Linked DNA regions of Callithrix jacchus. The protein of the gene in region 4 purifies or fractionates together with the protein of the main gene of each other region. This does not show direct contact. Links are inferred from orthologs where the notes say so. Each region holds a gene or a part of one and is shown on either strand. Other genes may lie near its edges. The genes, in order: BCL7A, SS18, BICRA, SMARCD1 and BCL7B.

Evidence for each region.
Region 1: the proteins of SMARCD1 (region 4) and BCL7A purify together in Homo sapiens (affinity purification with mass spectrometry; 5 studies listed by BioGRID and IntAct, counting the BioPlex papers as one, with this or other methods). This does not show direct contact. The link is inferred for Callithrix jacchus from reciprocal best matches to the Homo sapiens genes SMARCD1 and BCL7A.
Region 2: the proteins of SMARCD1 (region 4) and SS18 purify together in Homo sapiens (affinity purification with mass spectrometry; 5 studies listed by BioGRID and IntAct, counting the BioPlex papers as one, with this or other methods). This does not show direct contact. The link is inferred for Callithrix jacchus from reciprocal best matches to the Homo sapiens genes SMARCD1 and SS18.
Region 3: the proteins of SMARCD1 (region 4) and BICRA purify together in Homo sapiens (affinity purification with mass spectrometry; 5 studies listed by BioGRID and IntAct, counting the BioPlex papers as one, with this or other methods). This does not show direct contact. The link is inferred for Callithrix jacchus from reciprocal best matches to the Homo sapiens genes SMARCD1 and BICRA.
Region 5: the proteins of SMARCD1 (region 4) and BCL7B purify together in Homo sapiens (affinity purification with mass spectrometry; 4 studies listed by BioGRID and IntAct, counting the BioPlex papers as one, with this or other methods). This does not show direct contact. The link is inferred for Callithrix jacchus from reciprocal best matches to the Homo sapiens genes SMARCD1 and BCL7B.

What each region holds. Positions count from the first base shown.
Region 1 is NC_133510.1:125,246,050-125,249,566, reverse strand, and holds part of BCL7A (B-cell CLL/lymphoma 7 protein family member A), read right to left. Parts: intron 585-3,517; coding exon 477-584; intron 1-476.
Region 2 is NC_133514.1:69,270,020-69,273,536, forward strand, and holds part of SS18 (protein SSXT), read right to left. Parts: intron 2,412-3,517; coding exon 2,319-2,411; intron 1,615-2,318; coding exon 1,492-1,614; intron 1-1,491. UniProt on the Homo sapiens protein: Appears to function synergistically with RBM14 as a transcriptional coactivator. Isoform 1 and isoform 2 function in nuclear receptor coactivation. Isoform 1 and isoform 2 function in general transcriptional coactivation.
Region 3 is NC_133523.1:41,625,078-41,628,594, forward strand, and holds part of BICRA (BRD4-interacting chromatin-remodeling complex-associated protein), read left to right. Parts: intron 1-3,208; coding exon 3,209-3,517. UniProt on the Homo sapiens protein: Component of SWI/SNF chromatin remodeling subcomplex GBAF that carries out key enzymatic activities, changing chromatin structure by altering DNA-histone contacts within a nucleosome in an ATP-dependent manner.
Region 4 is NC_133510.1:69,494,032-69,497,548, forward strand, and holds part of SMARCD1 (SWI/SNF-related matrix-associated actin-dependent regulator of chromatin subfamily D member 1), read right to left. Parts: intron 3,356-3,517; coding exon 3,239-3,355; intron 1,978-3,238; coding exon 1,876-1,977; intron 1,623-1,875; coding exon 1,461-1,622; intron 1,368-1,460; coding exon 1,270-1,367; intron 1-1,269. UniProt on the Homo sapiens protein: Involved in transcriptional activation and repression of select genes by chromatin remodeling (alteration of DNA-nucleosome topology).
Region 5 is NC_133503.1:10,147,915-10,151,431, reverse strand, and holds part of BCL7B (B-cell CLL/lymphoma 7 protein family member B), read right to left. Parts: intron 3,249-3,517; coding exon 3,078-3,248; intron 1,356-3,077; coding exon 1,276-1,355; intron 592-1,275; coding exon 499-591; 3' UTR 1-498. UniProt on the Homo sapiens protein: Positive regulator of apoptosis. Plays a role in the Wnt signaling pathway, negatively regulating the expression of Wnt signaling components CTNNB1 and HMGA1.

The DNA.
Region 1 (3,517 bases), about 56 Mb from region 4:
TGGCTCACTACAACCTCTGCCTCCTGGGTTCAAGTGATTCTCTGGCCTCAGCCTCCCAAGTAGCTGGGATTACAGGCACTCACCAACACACCTGGCTAATTTTGTATTTTTAATAGAGATGGGGTTTTACCATTTTGGCCAGGCTGGTCTCGAACTTCTGACCTCAGGTGATCCACCCACCTTGGTCTCCAAAAGTGCTGGAACTATAGCCGTAAGCCATCTCGCCTAGCCATCCAGGAGGGGTCTGGATACTCCTCCTCCTGGGACCCCTGAGCTGACCCCGCAGGTCCCCCACACCCTCCAAGCACCACAGCTGTCCCATGTGTCCAGGGAGGCAAAGAATTCTGGCACCGGCCTGACCTTCCCCATACTGAGCCAACTGTACCCTGTGTCTGGAGGCAGCCAGCTGGGGATGGTGGCCTAACATATTTAAAACCTTGGGGGGACATTTGAGGCCTCATTCTGGGTGTACAAACCAGATGCCTTGTGTATCTGGGAAGCAATATGGAAGACACGGCATGGTCCGTGAGGCGTGACTGCCAAGACGTTCTGAATGAACGCATCCAGGCTGGAGCTGAGTTCCACTAGATAGGAAATAAAAGGGAGCGAGAGGCAGCCAGGGTAGCACATTCCACGGGACATGTGGCCCCTCCCTTAAAGTCGGTATCGTTTTTATTAAAAAATAAAAAGAGGAGGGGAGATGGACGTCGAATAAAGAAAGCTAAGAGACTCGACTAAACATGATGTATGGGAATTATCTGGATCCAACTTTAACACTTAGGAACTGGGGAATCTGAATCCGATCTGGATTTTAAAGCTATTAAGGAACTGGTGTTAACTTTGTTAGAAGTGATCATGGGACAGTGGGTATACAGAAACGTCATGTTTTTAGCAATGTATGCTGTGATATAGCTGCAGACTTGAATGTCATGAGGCAGGGAAATTTACCAGAAAATGCTTCCATGCAAGCTACATGCTACTTCCAGGACACCTTGAACCTTTACTTTTTGAGACAGTCTTGCTCTGTCACCCAGACTGGAGTGCAATGGCGCAATCTGGGCTCACTGCAACCTCTGCCTCCCGGGTTCAAGCAATTCTCCTGCTTCAGGCTCCCAAGTAGATTTACAGGTGCCTGCCACCACACCTGGCTGATTTTTCTATTTTTAGTAGAGATGGGTTTCACCACGTTCCGGGCTGGTCTCAAATTCTTGACCTCAGGTGATCTGCCTGCCTTGGCCTCCCAAAGTACTGGGATTACAGGTGTGAACCACTGCACCCAGCGACTAGTAGTGTATTTTAATATGTGAATTATCTTTTTTTTTTTTTGAGACGGGGTTTTGCTCTTGTTACCCAGGCTGGAGTGCAATGGCACAATCTCGGCTCACCGCAACCTCTGCCTCCTGGGTTCAGGCAATTCTCCTGCCTCAGGCTCCTGAGTAGCTGGGATTACAGGCACGTGCCACCAGGCACAGCTAAGTTTTTGTATTTTTAGTAGAGACGGGGTTTCACCATGTTGACCAGGATGGTCTCGATTTCTTGACCTCGTGATCCACCCGCCTCGGCCTCCCAAAGTGCTAGGATTACAGGCTTGAGCCACTGTGAATTATCTTTTAATTAAAACATTCGACACACTGAAAAAATTGGTGAGGCAAATACGGCATGTGTTCATGAAAATCAGGGTGGAGGGTATAGGGGAATCGTATTCCTCTCTCTACTGTTCGTGACAACAAAACCCTTCACAACACAAAGAAGAAGAGGAAGGGGTAACTGAGCAATGGCATTCACAGTCGGGCTGGGGGGAGAGCTGGGGCCTGGGGTGCACCTGCCCTTGTCCTGTACCCTGTTCTCAGGCACAGAGAGTCACTCTATTTTTCTGAGATGGAATCTCACTGTCACCCAGGCTGGAGTGCAGTGGCATAATCTCGGCTCACTATAATCTCCGCCTCCTGAGTTCAAGCAATTCTCATGCCTCAGCCTTCCAGGTAGCTCTGATTATAGGCACACACCACCATGCCCGGTTAATTTTTGTTATTTTTGGTAGAGACAAGGTTTCACTACATTGACCAGACTGCTCTCGAACTCCTGACCTCAGGTGATCTGCCTGCCCTGACCTCCCAAAGTCCTGAGATGACAGGCATGAGCCAGCACGCCCAGCCATTTATGTACTTTTTATTTTAGAGACAGGGTCTTGCTGTGTCGCACATGCTGGAGTGCAGCAGCACAATCAGAGCTCAGAGCAGCCTCGAACTCTCAGGCACAAGCCATCCTCCCGCCTCTGCCTCCTGAGTAGCTGGGGCCACAGGCATGTGCCGCTGTCTCTGGCTAATTTTTAAATTTTTTGTAGAGATGGGGGTCTCACTATGTTGCCAGGCTGGTCTTGGACCCCTGGGCTCAAGTGATCCTCCTGTCGTGGCCTCCCAAAGCACTGAGATCATAGGCCTGAGCCACTATGCCAGACCTAGGAGAGTCATTTCAAACAGCAGAGACCCAAGTGGAAGTTTCAAAGCTGATGCAATAGGAAGCAGCCTTTGCATCATAAAGGGCCATGCTGCACCTGGGGCGACGACCGCTTTTGTCAGAATGAGAAAGAGACAGAGACACCCCAACAGACCCGGGTGCCTGCCATATGCGAGGCACTGGGAAAAGCATTTGTGGTCACCTCGTCTAATCCTCCCAGCAACCCACTGGAGAGGCGCCATTACCGCCTTCACTTTCCAGAGGGGGAAACCGAGGCTGGGAGCAGGAGAGCCACTAGCCGGACCCATCTGCCCAGCTCCCAGCCCCATGCCTCTCCTCTACCTCAACCTGCCGAAGAGAGCCAGGCAGTCAGGCAGCCCCACCCGGGTAACTTGGACCTGAGTTTAACTGGACTTGGGTGCGCATTATACAAAAGCATCCTCTTGTGAATTCTAGAACTTAAAAAGGATGTGTGCTCCCCAATTTCTCCTCTGAGAAAATCTGAACTACCTTCCTACTGCCAGCACTCGAGCAAGATGCTGGCCCCATAGGCTCCTGAGGTTGTGTTAATTAATGACAATAAGCACTAATGTTTAACGTCTGGGCCTAGGCTGGTAGCCTGGTAACGGTGTGACCCCAATACTTGGGCTAACTCCAGCTGAGTTAGCTGGAGTTAAGGTCTTGTGGACCAAAGGGCCCAAGGCACCACCCTCTCCCTTCACCTCCTGCTATACATATCCTCCCACTTGAAGCCTTCCAGAAAACCTGGCCGGCCCACACCTTTCCCTGACCTTCCCAGTCACATGCTCTGCTGTCTGATTTGGTTTCAGCTGTACATGCACTAAAATGGAAATGAGAAAGTGGACAGGGACCTATGTTGGGGACCTGGTTTGTTCAGCAGTCTAGATTTTTCTGGAGAGTTTGTCCAGGCCACAAACCTGGATTTTTTTTTTTTTTTTTAAACACATCCTCGCTCTCTCGCCCAGTCTGGAGTACAGTGGTGCAATCTTGGCTCACTGCAACCTCCTCCTCCCAGTTTCAAGAAATTCTCCTCCCTCAG
Region 2 (3,517 bases), on a different chromosome or scaffold from region 4:
GTTTTCTATCGTAGCCATTCAAATCCTGCCATAAAAACACTGACTTCAGAGAAAACTATCAAAAGAGAACAGTAAGTTTTCAAGCTTAAATGAATTCCATCAGTCTGTTATTTATTTATTAATATTAAATTATTAAAACTTTATTTCCATTAGAAATAAAGTTTTTTGAGTACAAATAAAGTTTTTTTTTTGACAACAAGCCTATGGATAAACAAAACAGAAATTTATCTTAGAATTCCTGACGTCTAACAAAACAGCATTTAACTATAATACAAAAATTAAGCTTTATTTCACCCTCTCTTACCAATGAAGATATATCTCTTAAGCCAATGAAGTTACCTAATTTAGCTGCATTACATCTGTTTTCATGCAAATGCAATAAAACCAGAACACTGAATTTACTCAAAGTATAAATACTAAGTAGAGACAAAATGAAAAGGCCATCTGGGAAGGGCAAGAAACTTCCTTCGTGGGAAAAAAAAATCCATGGAATATTTCTAAAGTCACATCTAAAATTTGGAAATCAGAACTTACCATTTTTAGAAAAATACCTGACTCCCCAATATCTGATTGAGTTTCAACACATATGTTGAGGGGGCAAGAGAATTTCAGTCTGACCATAGTTCTAAGATTTGCTATCACAGGTAGACAGAGATGCCCACAGCAACAGCAGAGCTTAAGTCAATGACTAAAAATAATAAGATATTACTAATGTGAAAAAGAGACCCTATTAGGAAAAGATGGAGTCAGTATTCTTAAGCAACTACTTCTTTCAATAGAGCTATATTTAAGATGGTTATAGTAGCCTTAGAGTGAAGATTAAAATAACAGGTCCTCATCATTCCCCACACCCTATCTAATAAGTAAATTTTAAAGTCTGATATCCAGGTTGTAGATATTATAAATGAGTATATATTAAGAAAATACAGCTATACTTCTCCCAAATTCTGCATGATTCACAGCTACAATAAATTCATCCGGATGGATATGCATATTGCTATGTTAACCAGGGAATGACAAAAATGTTTCCTTTATCCATTCTGAATAGATCTCATTTGTACTCAAAAAAAAAAAAAATCAATGTGTTTAAAAAAAAATGTTGGCCATTAGTTTTTAAAAATAAATTTGCTATTCAGATTATACACATATGTTTAATAATTACCCAATCATCAGTTTTCCAAGCACATACAAGGCTACTAGTTAAGCAGGACAAATAGATCTAAGAATTCATTTTTCTTCTTTTAAATGACTTCACACCTTATCTTTGGTCAATGAACCATCTCTGGTTTGTAGTTCTTTTTAAAAAGGTTACCAGTTTATCTAACAGCAACATTTTAAACCACCATTTTAATAGCAGACTAGGCTAAAACTGAATTTTCAAGTAGTAATTATTGGAAAAATAAGTACTAAATATTAAATACCCACTTCCACATTTTAAAACAATCATCACCACATTTTTTGGTGATAAAAATAAACTGTACAAAGCTTTACCATAGCCCTGCTGCTGTCCTGGGTAACCCTGCTGCCCTGGGTACTGCTGCTGCTGGGGTGGATATCCCTGTTGTGGAGGTGGTCCCTGGTATGCATCCTGCTGTTGGCCATACTGTGAATTTCCTAAAGGGTAATTGGAGAAGAAGAAAAAAACTGAGAAGTTTGCTTAATTAACTTTTTTCCCTCTAAGATGCATAGCCAACAACACAAGAACAAAATGAAATGCCATATTGATTTTTAGAAGTTAACAAAACAAAGAAAAAACTCAAACCAAACAGAAGGATATCGGTCAAACAAACTGCAGTTAAAGCCAATTTTGCAAGGTTGAACTGCAGCATTTTCAGCGTCTCTGCCATACGAGCATTACATTTACTGGAACATCACAGTCATAAGATCATGACTATGCTAAATAAAATAAAAAAGACAAAATTAAAGACAGCTACAAGAGCACACACTAGCTACACGAGATCAGCAAGCTGTTTCCTAAAGGCACTATACTTATATGTAAAATTATACATATGTAAACATACACGAGAAAAAAAAGTTGGACTGATGGATTTATGTTCAAATAGAAAATTTCCACCGAGGAAAAAATTATCTTTAATGTTTTAGTCTTTTTATTATTGTTAGAAATGGCAAGTCATGGTTATACATTTTAAATATTTGTAAGGAAATTATTTTGATTGTTTTGGGCTCCCTGTAACTTTCAAGACAGCCAGCAACTAATATTCTACAAGAGCTTTGCATGGGTAGAAGTTGTCTTATGCAAGAATTTTCATTCCTGTAGAAGGGGATATATGTGTATGTGTGTGAAGGTATATAGATACCTCCTTCGTAGTAATGTTGTGAGGAATCCTCATAAGGCCTATCGTAGCCTTGTTCAGGATACGACGGTTGCTGATAACCGTAATCATTATGACCTACATCAATTCGACAAGAGACAGGAAGAAACGTTAATGGCCACTGAGTGAAAACCCTAAAAATATTTAAACTTTCAGATAAAATTGAAAAAAAAGAAAAAGAAATGGAACATAAAAAATTATTTCAATTGCATTAGCCAAAGATTTACCAATGTGATTGTTTTCATATTGAGATAACGTGCAAATTGTTTTAAAGGCAAAAAGCAGTAGTTTTAGAAACATTACACTTATTGTCTTAAATCTGATAATCCTCATTGAGGGGAAAAAAAACCTTTATCTCCCATTAATTAAAAAAAAAAAAGAGAATAAAAGTATCTAGGTCTTTCACATGTAAATAACCTAAATTAAATTAGAATGAACAAAGGAGGCAATTATCCTATTTTGTCAAACACCTGTTCTGCTGGTCTCCAATTCCACAGCATATGCTAAAAACTGCAAAATTTAAAAGAGTTCTGTAAGTTTTTCCCATTATTTCACATTCTAACATTTACTTGCATAAAGTTAAGTATCTCAAAATATCTTCAGATGGAAAATTATGTATCTTAATACTGCCATTTTGGAAATTTTTAGAAAATATTTCAAGTATCATAAATATCCATCTTCATAAAATTAAAATTGTGTTGAGTATGAGAATATATCTTAAATTTTAAAGCACAATAAATTTTACCTGCGAGACAACTGGACTCTAATGAAAAATAATACTCTCACTCTTTAAGTTTCACTAAGAAAATGTAGGAAATAACCTTTTAGTTACCCAAAATCTGAACTCTATTTTACAAAAATGCCTAATTAAGAACATAGGAATAAAGTTACAAATAAACATTATACACGGTGCTCTAGTATTCTAATGTTCCCATGCCACCTCATAAATACCTACATCAAGGGTTGGCAAACTATGGCCTGCAGTCTTACTGTGGCCAGTGGCATGTTTTTGTAAATAAAGTTTTATTGGAATACAGTCATGCCCTTTCATTTCAGTAGAGTCCAAAGCTGCTTTCATGCTACAGTAAGAGTTCAGTAATTGAGACGAAGACCATATGACCCACAAAGACTAAAGTATTTATTATCTGGCCCTTTAAAGAAAAAGTTTGCCAATTCCTAATCTA
Region 3 (3,517 bases), on a different chromosome or scaffold from region 4:
GTGCGTTTTGCTGTGCATTTCTCTTATTTCAAGTAGGTTGAGCAGCTCTGAAAATACTTAAGCCTTCTGTGTTTCCTTTTCTGTGCACTGTCTGGTCATATTTTTTGCCCCTTTTTCTCACCTGTTGTAATTCTTAGTGATTTCTAGAGGCTCTTTATATATGAGAGAGGTTAACTTTGTGCCAGGAGTTGCAAGTATTTTCCCCAGCAAGTCATTTGGCGTATGACTTAAGTTGTGGGGGGTGTGTGTGTGTGTGTGTGTGTGCACTTTTAATGAGAATGAGATTAAAATTTTTTAATGTTTTAGCATCTTTAAGCTTTTTATATTTAAATGACTTCAAATACATAAAAAGTTTCAGGACTAGTACAAAGAGCTCACGGGAGTTCTTTACTCCTTAACAAGACGTGTTACTTATCTATTGCTATGCAGTAAATTACCCCCAAACTCAGCAGCTTAAAACAGCAGGCATTCACCTATCTCACACGGTCTCCAAGCATCAGGAAGCCGGAAGTTAGGAGGTTCTAGCTCTGGATCTTCCATGAGGTTATAGTCATGATGTCAGCTGGGGCTGTGGTCCTCTGAAGGTCCCACTGATCCCACACTCACTTGTGTGGCTGTTGTCAGGAGGCCTCAGTTATACCCTATGAGGGCTCTCCAAGGGGAAGCACATGACATGGAGAGGTTGGCTTCCTGCAAAGTGAGTGACCCAATAGAAACAGATGAGAAGGATCAGGATGGGAGCTGCAGGCTTTTTATAACTAATCTTGGAGGTGTCATGTGATCACTTCCACCAAATTTTGTTGGCTGCAAAGACCAGCAGTGGGAGGGGATTGAATACAGGGAGGTGGGGATTGGTGGTGGCTGCCGCACACACGTACCCATGGTCAGCCTTTTGCTGCATTTGCCTTGACCTTAGTGCCCTTGTTCTGTGTACATTTTTGTCTGAATCAGTTGAGAGTAAGTTGCAGTCATCATAACCATTTGCCCCTTAAATCTGTTCATTTATTTTTGAGTGAGTCTTGCTCTGTCACCCAGGGTGGAGTGCAGTGGTACAATCTTGGCTCACTGTAATCTCTGCCTCCTGGGTTCAAGAAATTCTCCTGTCTCAGCCTCCAGAGTAGCTGGGATTATAGGTGCCCACCACCATGCCTAGCTAATTTTGGGGTTTTTAGTAGAGATAAGGTTTTACCATGTTTACCAGGTTGGTCTTGAACTCCTGGGCTCCAGTGAGCCTCTGTGGCCAGCCTACCCCTGTTTTAGTGAATATTTCAGCCCTTGAGAACAAGGACATTCTCTTGACCATCATGCAGTGAAGAAATAAAGTAGACAGCATAGACACGGGACTGTTGTGAAATCCACTGTCCATAAACCGATTTAGCTAGTTGCCCAGGGATCCTGTAATGTATTCCTGTCGGTTTTCACGTAGTATCAGAGTGCCGCTATGTGCGGGACACCCCCTGAGCCCTTAGAACCTGTCGAGTGGGCCAGCTCTCTTCCCCTGCTCACTCAGCGACGCACCTGCCATTGGTCATCTGAGTCATTTCCCCTTTTCCTCTATTGTAAATACTCCCACAGTGGGTATCTCCATGAGTGAGTACTTCAATACTCTTTATCACAGATTCCTGGAGGGGGAATTTCCAGGTCACAGTCCTGACCCTGTCAAGAGTCCCCAGACCAAGCTGCCTCCCAGCGGGACTGTCCAGGGGGCATCCCAACCAGCTGCACACAGAGCCAGGGGCTGCCCCTCTGATCCCTTCTTAGAGGTGGCAAACCGTTCAGATGTCTGGATTGATTGATTGATTGGGTCGGTTTGGTTCTTTAATTGCCAGAAGTTACTCAGGGCCCAGCTTGGAAGGGATGCTGGAAGGGCCCTAGGACTTAGAGGCCGAAGCTGGTGGTGAGTCTGATGTCATGCTGAGATCCCTAGCTTTGGAGTGTGGGGATGCTGGCTGTCCTGGCCGGGTCCCCAGAGCCCTCTGAGCCTGGGCTCCGTCAGCTTTGAGAAACCACTCAGAAGTCACTGAGTTGTGTAAAGGCTTCAGTTCCACCTTCCCCTGCCTGGAGGGTCTGGACCAGTTTTGGCTCCTTGGCCTCAGTGTCTCATCTGTGAAATGGGTCCAATGTTGCCACTGCTCTCAGGGCTAGGGAGAGATCACACAAATGGGTGTGAGAGGCCAGCCATCCGTGTTAGATCAGCATGAGCTGTTACTAGGGTGTAGATTCTGTGACAGTAAGCGTCGCAGTGCCAGCCCAGTGTTGGGTACAGAGCTGGTGCCCACTGGCTACACAGCAGCTGCTCTGGTTATGATTTTTTGGAGGAGGGTTCAGAGGAGCAAGGTGCTCTGTCTCAGACAAGCTTCAGGCAAGGTGGGTGTGCGTGTGTGGTGGAAGTAACCCCAGATCGCGTGAGCTTGCAGGCACAGGCTTCGGCAGAGTCTGGTGCATCGCGCACAGGCACGCACGCCTGTACTTGCAAGCTCATGTGGTGGCCGGGTAGGCCTGTAGCCATGGCCATACGCACACAGAGGCGGGGGCCCAGGACATATAGAAGGGGGCCCAGGCCTTCCCGTGCCGTGTCCAGAGGTCCACACATGGCTGTGAACCCAGGCCTGGCCCTGTCCCCTCAGTGGCCATCTGTATCCTTGGCAGCCCCCATTCTGTGGCCATCAGCCCTGAGCCACGGTACACAGCATCACGCTGGTGTCTCTCTGCCTTGACTTGGCTGGAGGGGCGGGCGGGGGCTGGCAGCTGGGATGCTGCCCCGCCTGCCCTCCTTCCCCGCTGCTGTGCTCGCCGCCGCCCGCCTGGCCCTCCTGCCTCCTGCTGGGCAGCGGGTATGGTGCCCCTGCTGCCGCCGCCACGCTGCCTCTGCTTCCTCCGCTGCTGCCACCCCAACCCCGCAGGGCTCGCCTTCGTCCGGGGAACTGCTGGGGTGGGGGAGGAATGGGGCAGACAAGGAGGGTGAGATCCGAGGCCAGAGAAATGTGGAGGAGCTGGGTTGCGGGACAGAGATGGGGGCAGGTGGGGTGCACCATGGGGTGAGAGAGGGAGGGAAGGGCAGCCGTAATGGGGCCCCCCTCTCAGGACGGGGTGGGCTAGGAAGGGGGCTTCTGGTGGGGATGGCTGGGGTGCCCAGTGTCTTGGGGCAGTGGGAACCATGGTTGGTTCTGACCCTTGCGCCTCCCCTCTCCCTCCCTCCCCTGCCCAGATCCCAGCAGCGGCTCCACTGAAGGGCCCAGGCCCCTCTTCGTCCCCGTCACTACCTCACCAGGCCCCTCTGGGGGACAGCCCCCACCTACCCTCCCCACACCCTGCTCGGCCCCCTTCCCGTCCACCCTCCCGGCCCCAGAGCGTGTCCCGCCCTCCCTCGGAGCCAGCCCTGCACCCTTGCCCTCCACCCCAGGCCCCCCCCACTCTGCCTGGCATCTTTGTCATCCAGAACCAGCTGGGCGTTCCCCCACCTGCTAGCAACTCGGCCCCTACTGCTCCAGGTCCACCCCAGCCACCTCTCCGCCCC
Region 4 (3,517 bases):
GATCACTCAAGGCCAGGAGTTCAAGACCAGCGTGGCTAACATGGTGAAACCCCATCTCTACTAGAAATACAAAATTAGCCAGCATGGTGGCACATGCCTATAATTACAACTACTTGCACGAGAATCGCTTGTACCTAAGAGGCAGCGGTTGCAGTGAGCCGAGATCGTGTCACTGCACTCCAGCCTGGGTGACAGAGTGAGAGTCTTTATGTTTAAACAAACAAACCTGTTTCATTGTTTCAGAGACAGGATTTTGCTACGTTGCCCAGGCTGGATTCAAACTCTGGGGCTCAAGCAATCCACCCACCTCAGCCTCTGGAGTAGCTGGGTCTACAAGGAACATGTTACTGTGCCTGGCTTCCTCCTTTTTATACTAAAATTGACCCCAGAATGAAAGTCAAACAAAATTTAAGTGGTCTAACTTTAAGCACAGGAATACAGGACAGACCAACTTCTACTGACCTAATTTATAGGTTGAGGAGTTACTACTAGTGATGGTTCAGGGCCTTATCTTCTTTTTTAAATCTTCCTCTCTATCATCTTGTAGGTTCAGGGTCAAAAGAAAAAAAAAACCCCTTACTGGAATTAAAACTGAGTAAAGAAAGGAAGGCAAGGAGACTATATCCAACTACAGAGACACACTGCTTTGAGAAGAAACGACTTTTTTTCACTCCCTATCTGCCTAGAAGTGCCTTGCTCTCCATCTTCTAAACAAAAAAGTGAATAGAAGTAATGTAATTGGAGGCTCAGACTTGAATGCTGAACCACCCAGAGAAAAGATGGGCCCTGAGCCCTTCTGTCAGTGAAGACCTGGTAAATGCTTAACAACTGATCTTCCAAAGGAGGACAGGAGGAAGAGCCCAGGTGTGTGGCATCTGCTGATCTCCGGAGCTTAAATATTCTGATTTCAAGCTACCAACATCACATTACTGTTCAGAGTTGGGAAGAGATGTGCAGTAACAGATAAACACATTATATCATATTTCCACCAGATAAAAATAGGCAAATATAACAAGCAAATACAATAGGCAAAAATAACCTCAAGAGCATAAATATAATAAAATGTAATAATGAGGAAGTAATACATTTTGAGTTTATGTTACCCACTTTTAGTCTAATATATTTAATTATAAGTTTATATAATTTAATTGTAAATAACAGCTTTGTTTAACAACCTGTTTGCAAAATTCCTGAAAATTTGACAACTGGCTTGTGCAAGTCGGTAGAAGGCAGCTCCAGCACAGCACTGCATCTCACACACAGGCCTACCTGATGACATGATTAATGATGATAGGCTCTGGTGGCATAAGCAAGGCATGGAGCCGCTGAGGGATCTCTGAAAACTTCATACGTTGAGACTCAAAGATCTGTAGCAAAGGGCAGAAGCACCTGAGGTTAGCATTTTGAGTATAACTAGTAGTCTTAATGGATTCTAGCAAAGCAATGTGTCCATTACTTACCTGCTGCAGGTACTTGTCACAGATGACAAACTCCCGCTCATGAGGATCCTGGAGCTTATGTGTCTTAATATATTGCCACAGTGCTTGGATGATCACTGGACGAGTCTGGGTGTGGATGCCCAGAAGCCGAGCTAGGCGGGGGTCTAATTTAAACTGGGGAGGCTGCAGGGAACCAAAGGGTATATGAAGCCAGTTAGCTGGGTCTATATGCAGTAATACATTCAAGCCATTCAACAAACAATGTAGAGATTTCTCTGGGACAGAAACATTCTAGGAAGAACTCAGAGATCACTAAGACTCTTATCTCTATGCCAAAGTGACAAATTATTCACAATTAGACGTAAACCCTTTAAGGGGAGACTGCTGACTGGATGTGGCTGTGAAAGCTGGACCCCCTCACACCACCACAGAATACCTGGTAATCCAGCATCAGTAGGACAGTACACCGTACATTCACATCTCCCGGTCGCTTCACCTGAAAGCCGTCGGTCTCCTGGGTAGTGGCGGTCCTGTGCCACTACAGAGAGGAAGATGTCAGGGGGTGCTCTCCCAGAGGAAGAGCTGGGGTGGGAGGGAAGAGCTTCTGTAATGACTGAATATTCAACTTTGATTATTGAGGCTACTGGAGAAGAGTAATAGCAATAGCATGAGGCATTTTTAAAAACTGCATATGGCTTTGGGATTACTGTCTGTGTATAAGTAGATTAACCTTTTAATTCTGTTTGTGGTTACATTCAATTAAGCCTGAATGTCCAGTGATAATTTTATCCACAAAATGGCTAATACAGATGTGAACAGTAACATAACATAGCTATCATTTACTGAGTACCTGTGCAAGAATATTCTAAGACATTTACCTGGATTATCACTTTCCAAACATCTATACAAGATAGGCACACTTATGCCTGTTTTACAGATGAGAAAACTAATGTTCAGCAGAACAAAGTAACCTGCTTAGGTCAAACAGCCAGTAAGTGGTGGAGCTGCGATCTGAGCTCTGGTGTGTCTGATTCTACAGTCCACATTCTTAACCACTATACTCTATTGCTATAAAATTAAGTTAAATATATTTACAAATTTCTATTGATTCTATGACTTACTTCCCTTATTAGGTGGTAAAGACCTTTCCATGTCTCTTAGTGGTTGAGGTTAAGGGGCTGCAGCTACACTGGCAAAGAAAGGAGCAGGTTAAATTCACTTGGAGTGCTGGCTGGACTATCATTTGGTTTTGCCTGTATCCCAAAGAATACTGTTGCTAACATGGGCTTCAAAACGGCGTGCAATCAGGCATCTTAATAAAGGATTTTTGGTGAATTGGAATGTAAATCTAAATGGAGCAGAGACCAAGAGGAAGTTCCTGATGGTGACCCTGGCAAGTACTAGTACCCTATCAGTCAATCCCTCTAATTACAGCAACTGCTACCAGGAAAAAGTATGATTGGTGCATGGATAACTACGTCTCACCATCATTAGCAAGCAAGATGCAGAGATGGCCTGGCATGTACAAGAGGCCACCAGTAAAATTTCCCTTGAAAGAGGCCGCAGTGACCAGCATAGTAACATTAAAAGATGAGACGAGTTAGATTACAAGAGCCCTTGGTCCTAACTAAACATGCTAGTGCCACCTAGAGGTCAATGTGCAAACCGTATACCTGGAGTAGTACTGTGTACACCCAGAGTGACTACTTTCTATCTCCCCTTCTTAGACATTCAAATATGGCTCCCAAGTCCATCTCATCCTTCAATCAGAGTCAAAGCCTAGAAGGCAGACTACTCACTTCTACCAGATGGTTGTCTGGCCCATACAGGTCTTTGTCCAGTTCAATCACCAAGGACTTAAAAAAAGAAGAGAACTTCCTCTTTTGTTTAGTGGCATCATATTTGGACAAGGCTGACTAGAGGAGAAAAAAGAAAAATCATGTTAGAAACGGCCAGAAGAAACTTCCCAAGACAAAATCCTATGAAAAAGGAACCCCAACAGCAATGGGAAAAAACTCAAAAATATCTTCTGAATATCTCTTAGGAGAGACAGGTAGGCTTCTGCAGGTATTAAACCA
Region 5 (3,517 bases), on a different chromosome or scaffold from region 4:
GAGAAGAGCCCTTCCCTTCGCTCCAACGTCTCTACACAGTCCTCCTCCAGCAGCAGCCTACAGGGCCCCCAGCCCTAGGGGAAAGTCCAGGAGTCCACAGTCTTCATTCAAGTTCAAGTAACCCTAGGCACTCTCTCTTCTGGAGGGCGCCTTCCACATCTCTCTTCTCAAGGAAGCTGCCAGCAGCTCAGTCCAGAGGTTCTGGAGCAGAGACTGCTGCCTGGAGGTGACAGATGAATCCTGGGGTGGCCAATGCTCCAGCCAACTTGGGGTGCAAAAGATGTGAGTGCTCCTCTTCTCGGGAGCAAGAAGACACAGGTGCAAGGGACGGGAAGATGACGTGACAGCCCCAAATCCTATGCCAGCCTTCCAGCCCGGAAGGCTCATGTGTGCAGGCTCTCGACCCCAGTGCTTGCCCTTTCCCCAGCAACACAGCGCAGCCAGAACCAGAATGCAATAAATAGAGGCAGGGCCAGGAGGCGGAGGGCTGTGACGGTGCTAGCTTTCTGACGCCGTCTGCGGCACTGTGGGTTGGTCCACACAGAAGCGCTTCAGGGGTGGGGCACCTGAGTCTTCCTCCTCTTCGGCGACCTAGAAGAAGGCAGAGCATGGAATAATGACAGAGCCACCCCTCCCAACCAGAGCCTTACCACCCACCTGAATTATAATAGGATGCCCAACCTGCTCCTTCTCACAAATGATCCATCTTCCTCCCCTGCCTGCAATCCTGGGACTCCAGTTTCCAGCACTGCAGATACAATCCCACATCCACAGTCTTTCCTGTTTTTTGTCTTAGGAACTGGGAAGCCTGGCTGGGCACAGTGGCTCATGCCTGTAATCCCAGCACTTTGAGAGGCTGAGGCAGGCAGATCACTTGAGCTCAGGAGACCACCCTGGCTAACATGTGAAACCCCATCTCTACTAAAAATACAAAAATTAGCCAGGTGTGGTTGCAGGCACCTGTAATTCCAGCTATTCGGGAGGCTGAGGCAGGAGAATCAATTGAAGCCAGGAGGTGGAGACTGCAGTGAGCCAAGATCACACCACTATACTCCAGCCTGGGCAATCCCGTCTCAAAGAAACAAACAAACAAAAAAACCGAAAAACTCGGCCGGGTGTGGTGGCTCATGCCTGTAATCCAAGCACTTTGGAGGCCAAGCCAGGCAGATCACCTGAGGTCAAGAGTTCAAGACCCCAGCCTGCCCAACATGGTAAAACCCCGTCTTAAAAAACACACACACACACACAACTGGAAAGCGCCGAGTGACTGCTTACCTGTGTCTCTAGTGGAACTGGTTCTTCCTTGGTGAGGGTGGGAGGTTCGTCAGCAACTTCCGAGGAGGGCAGGGAGGGCTCTGAAAAGGCAGCAGGGTCAGCCCGAGGGCAGAGCCCCCCTAAGGCCTGGACCTGGGGGAGCTTCCTTAGAGCGGTGTGGAAGTGGCTTGGTGGGGAGGAGAGAACACTGGCCTGGGAAGCGAACATTCACTCAGGGCCCGGCTGGACCAGGCCACAGCCATGAATGGTGGAAGGGCAAAATATGGCTAGACTGCAGAGGGCCCTCTCTACTGGGCTGGAGACATCTGGAACCAACAAAGCAGCTCATCTTGTCATCCTTCAGCCCAAACATCAAGACTCTAACTCAATCTCCCACTTTTCCGAGAGCTGCTATGATGACTCGATGAAGTAATAAACACAGGAGCTAAGAAGAGCGCGTGCTGAATAGCAGAAACGCAATATTCACGACAATTGGCACTTCCCATGGAGAAACAAGTTCCATTTTATAGTCGGCTGTTCAAAGGTCACAGCACAGGAGAAGTTAACAAGGGCCTAAGACACATCTACTTACCCACATTCTAACAAGAAACCTGGGTCAGGCGTGGTTGCTCACGCCAGAGAAGCTCCAGCTACTCTGGAGGTTGAGGTGGGAGGATCGCTTGAACCCAGGAGTTCAAGACCAGACTAGGCAACAGAGTGAGACCCCATTTCTACAAAAAATTAAAAGATACCCAGGCATGGTGGCACAGGCCTATGAGTCTGAGGCAGGAGGATCACTTGACCCCAAAAGTTCAAGACTGCAGCGAGCTAGGATTCAGCCACTGCATTCTAGCCTGGGCAATAGAGTAAGACCTTATGTCTTTACAAAAAACAAAAGGAAAGGGAAAAAAAATTAGCAGGATATAATGAAGACAGCATGAATTGAAGTTAGAAGGACTTAAAGTGACATTCATTCCAGGGCCGGGCGCAGTAGCTCACACCTGTAATCCTAGCACTTTGGGAGGCCGAGGTGGGTGGATCACCTGAGGTCAGGAGTTCAAGACCAGCCTGGCCATCATGCTGAAACCCCATCTTTAAAAAAAAAAAGGTTAAAAAAAAATAAAGTGACATTCATTCCAACAGTTACTAGACTAGCTACGTGATGATCTTAGACAAGCAATTTAACTTTTTTTTTTTTTTTTTTTTGGAGACAGTCTCACTCTGTTGCCCAGGTTGGAGTGCACTGGTCTGATCTCAGCTCACTGCAACCTCTGTCTCATGTTCAAGCGATTCTTCTGCCTTCGCCTCCACAGTAGCTGGGATTACAGGCATACGCCACCATGCCTGGCTAAATTTTTTATATTTTTAGTAGAGATAGGGTTTTGCCATCTTGGCCAGGCTGGTCTTGAACTCTTGGCTTCAAGTGACCCACCCACCTCGGCCTCCCAAAGTGCTGAGATTACAAGTGTGAGCCACCGTGCCTGGCCTGACTGAACCTTTCTAAGCCTTGAACCTCCATTTTCCCTCATCTGTAAAAGAAGACAGTAGCTGCCACCGTGCAGACTTTTGAGGGAACTATACCAGGCGTCAGGTACTCAAGCTCCTTTCACAGAGCCTGGCACTCAACTCCAATGCTTCTTTTCTCCCTTCACTCTGCGAAAGGGTGAAATAGAGTCACTCCTCAAAGTATCCCAAGCTGTGGAGAAACGGCTTGATGCCGCCTGGCTCTAAGGCGTTCTCTCGGACCTTGTCCTCTGAAGATGAGAAGCAGCAGGAGCAGGAGCAGAGCCCTGCTAGGACACTCCGGGCCAATCGCGACTCACCCTCCAGGATCTCCTGACCCAGGGTTGGGGGCTGGGAGTCGTCTGTGCGGAAGTCGGACGTGTGTGCCGGGCTCAGGGACTCACTCTGCTGCGGGCTGGGGCTTGAGTTGGTGCTGCTGTCCACCTTGAGCTGGTAGGCGTCAGACACAGAACTCTGGTTGCTGTTTTCATCTGAAAACCGAACAGAACAAAGGCAGCAGCTGAAAGTGGCCATTTTCCTCAAGAGGAACTCTGGACAGAGCCATGGACCTGGCACCACTTTAGGCAGCCAAGGATACAGGTGAGCACAGTAATCACTGTGCCCAGCCTACACGACATACAGTCTAAACACCAGAGGCAGCCAGAATCTTTACGTTTCTGCAATATTACACTTCAAGAAGGTCAGGCGATGCTTATTAAACCCTTCTTTATTATCCACCGATTAAAACTTACGGAAGGGA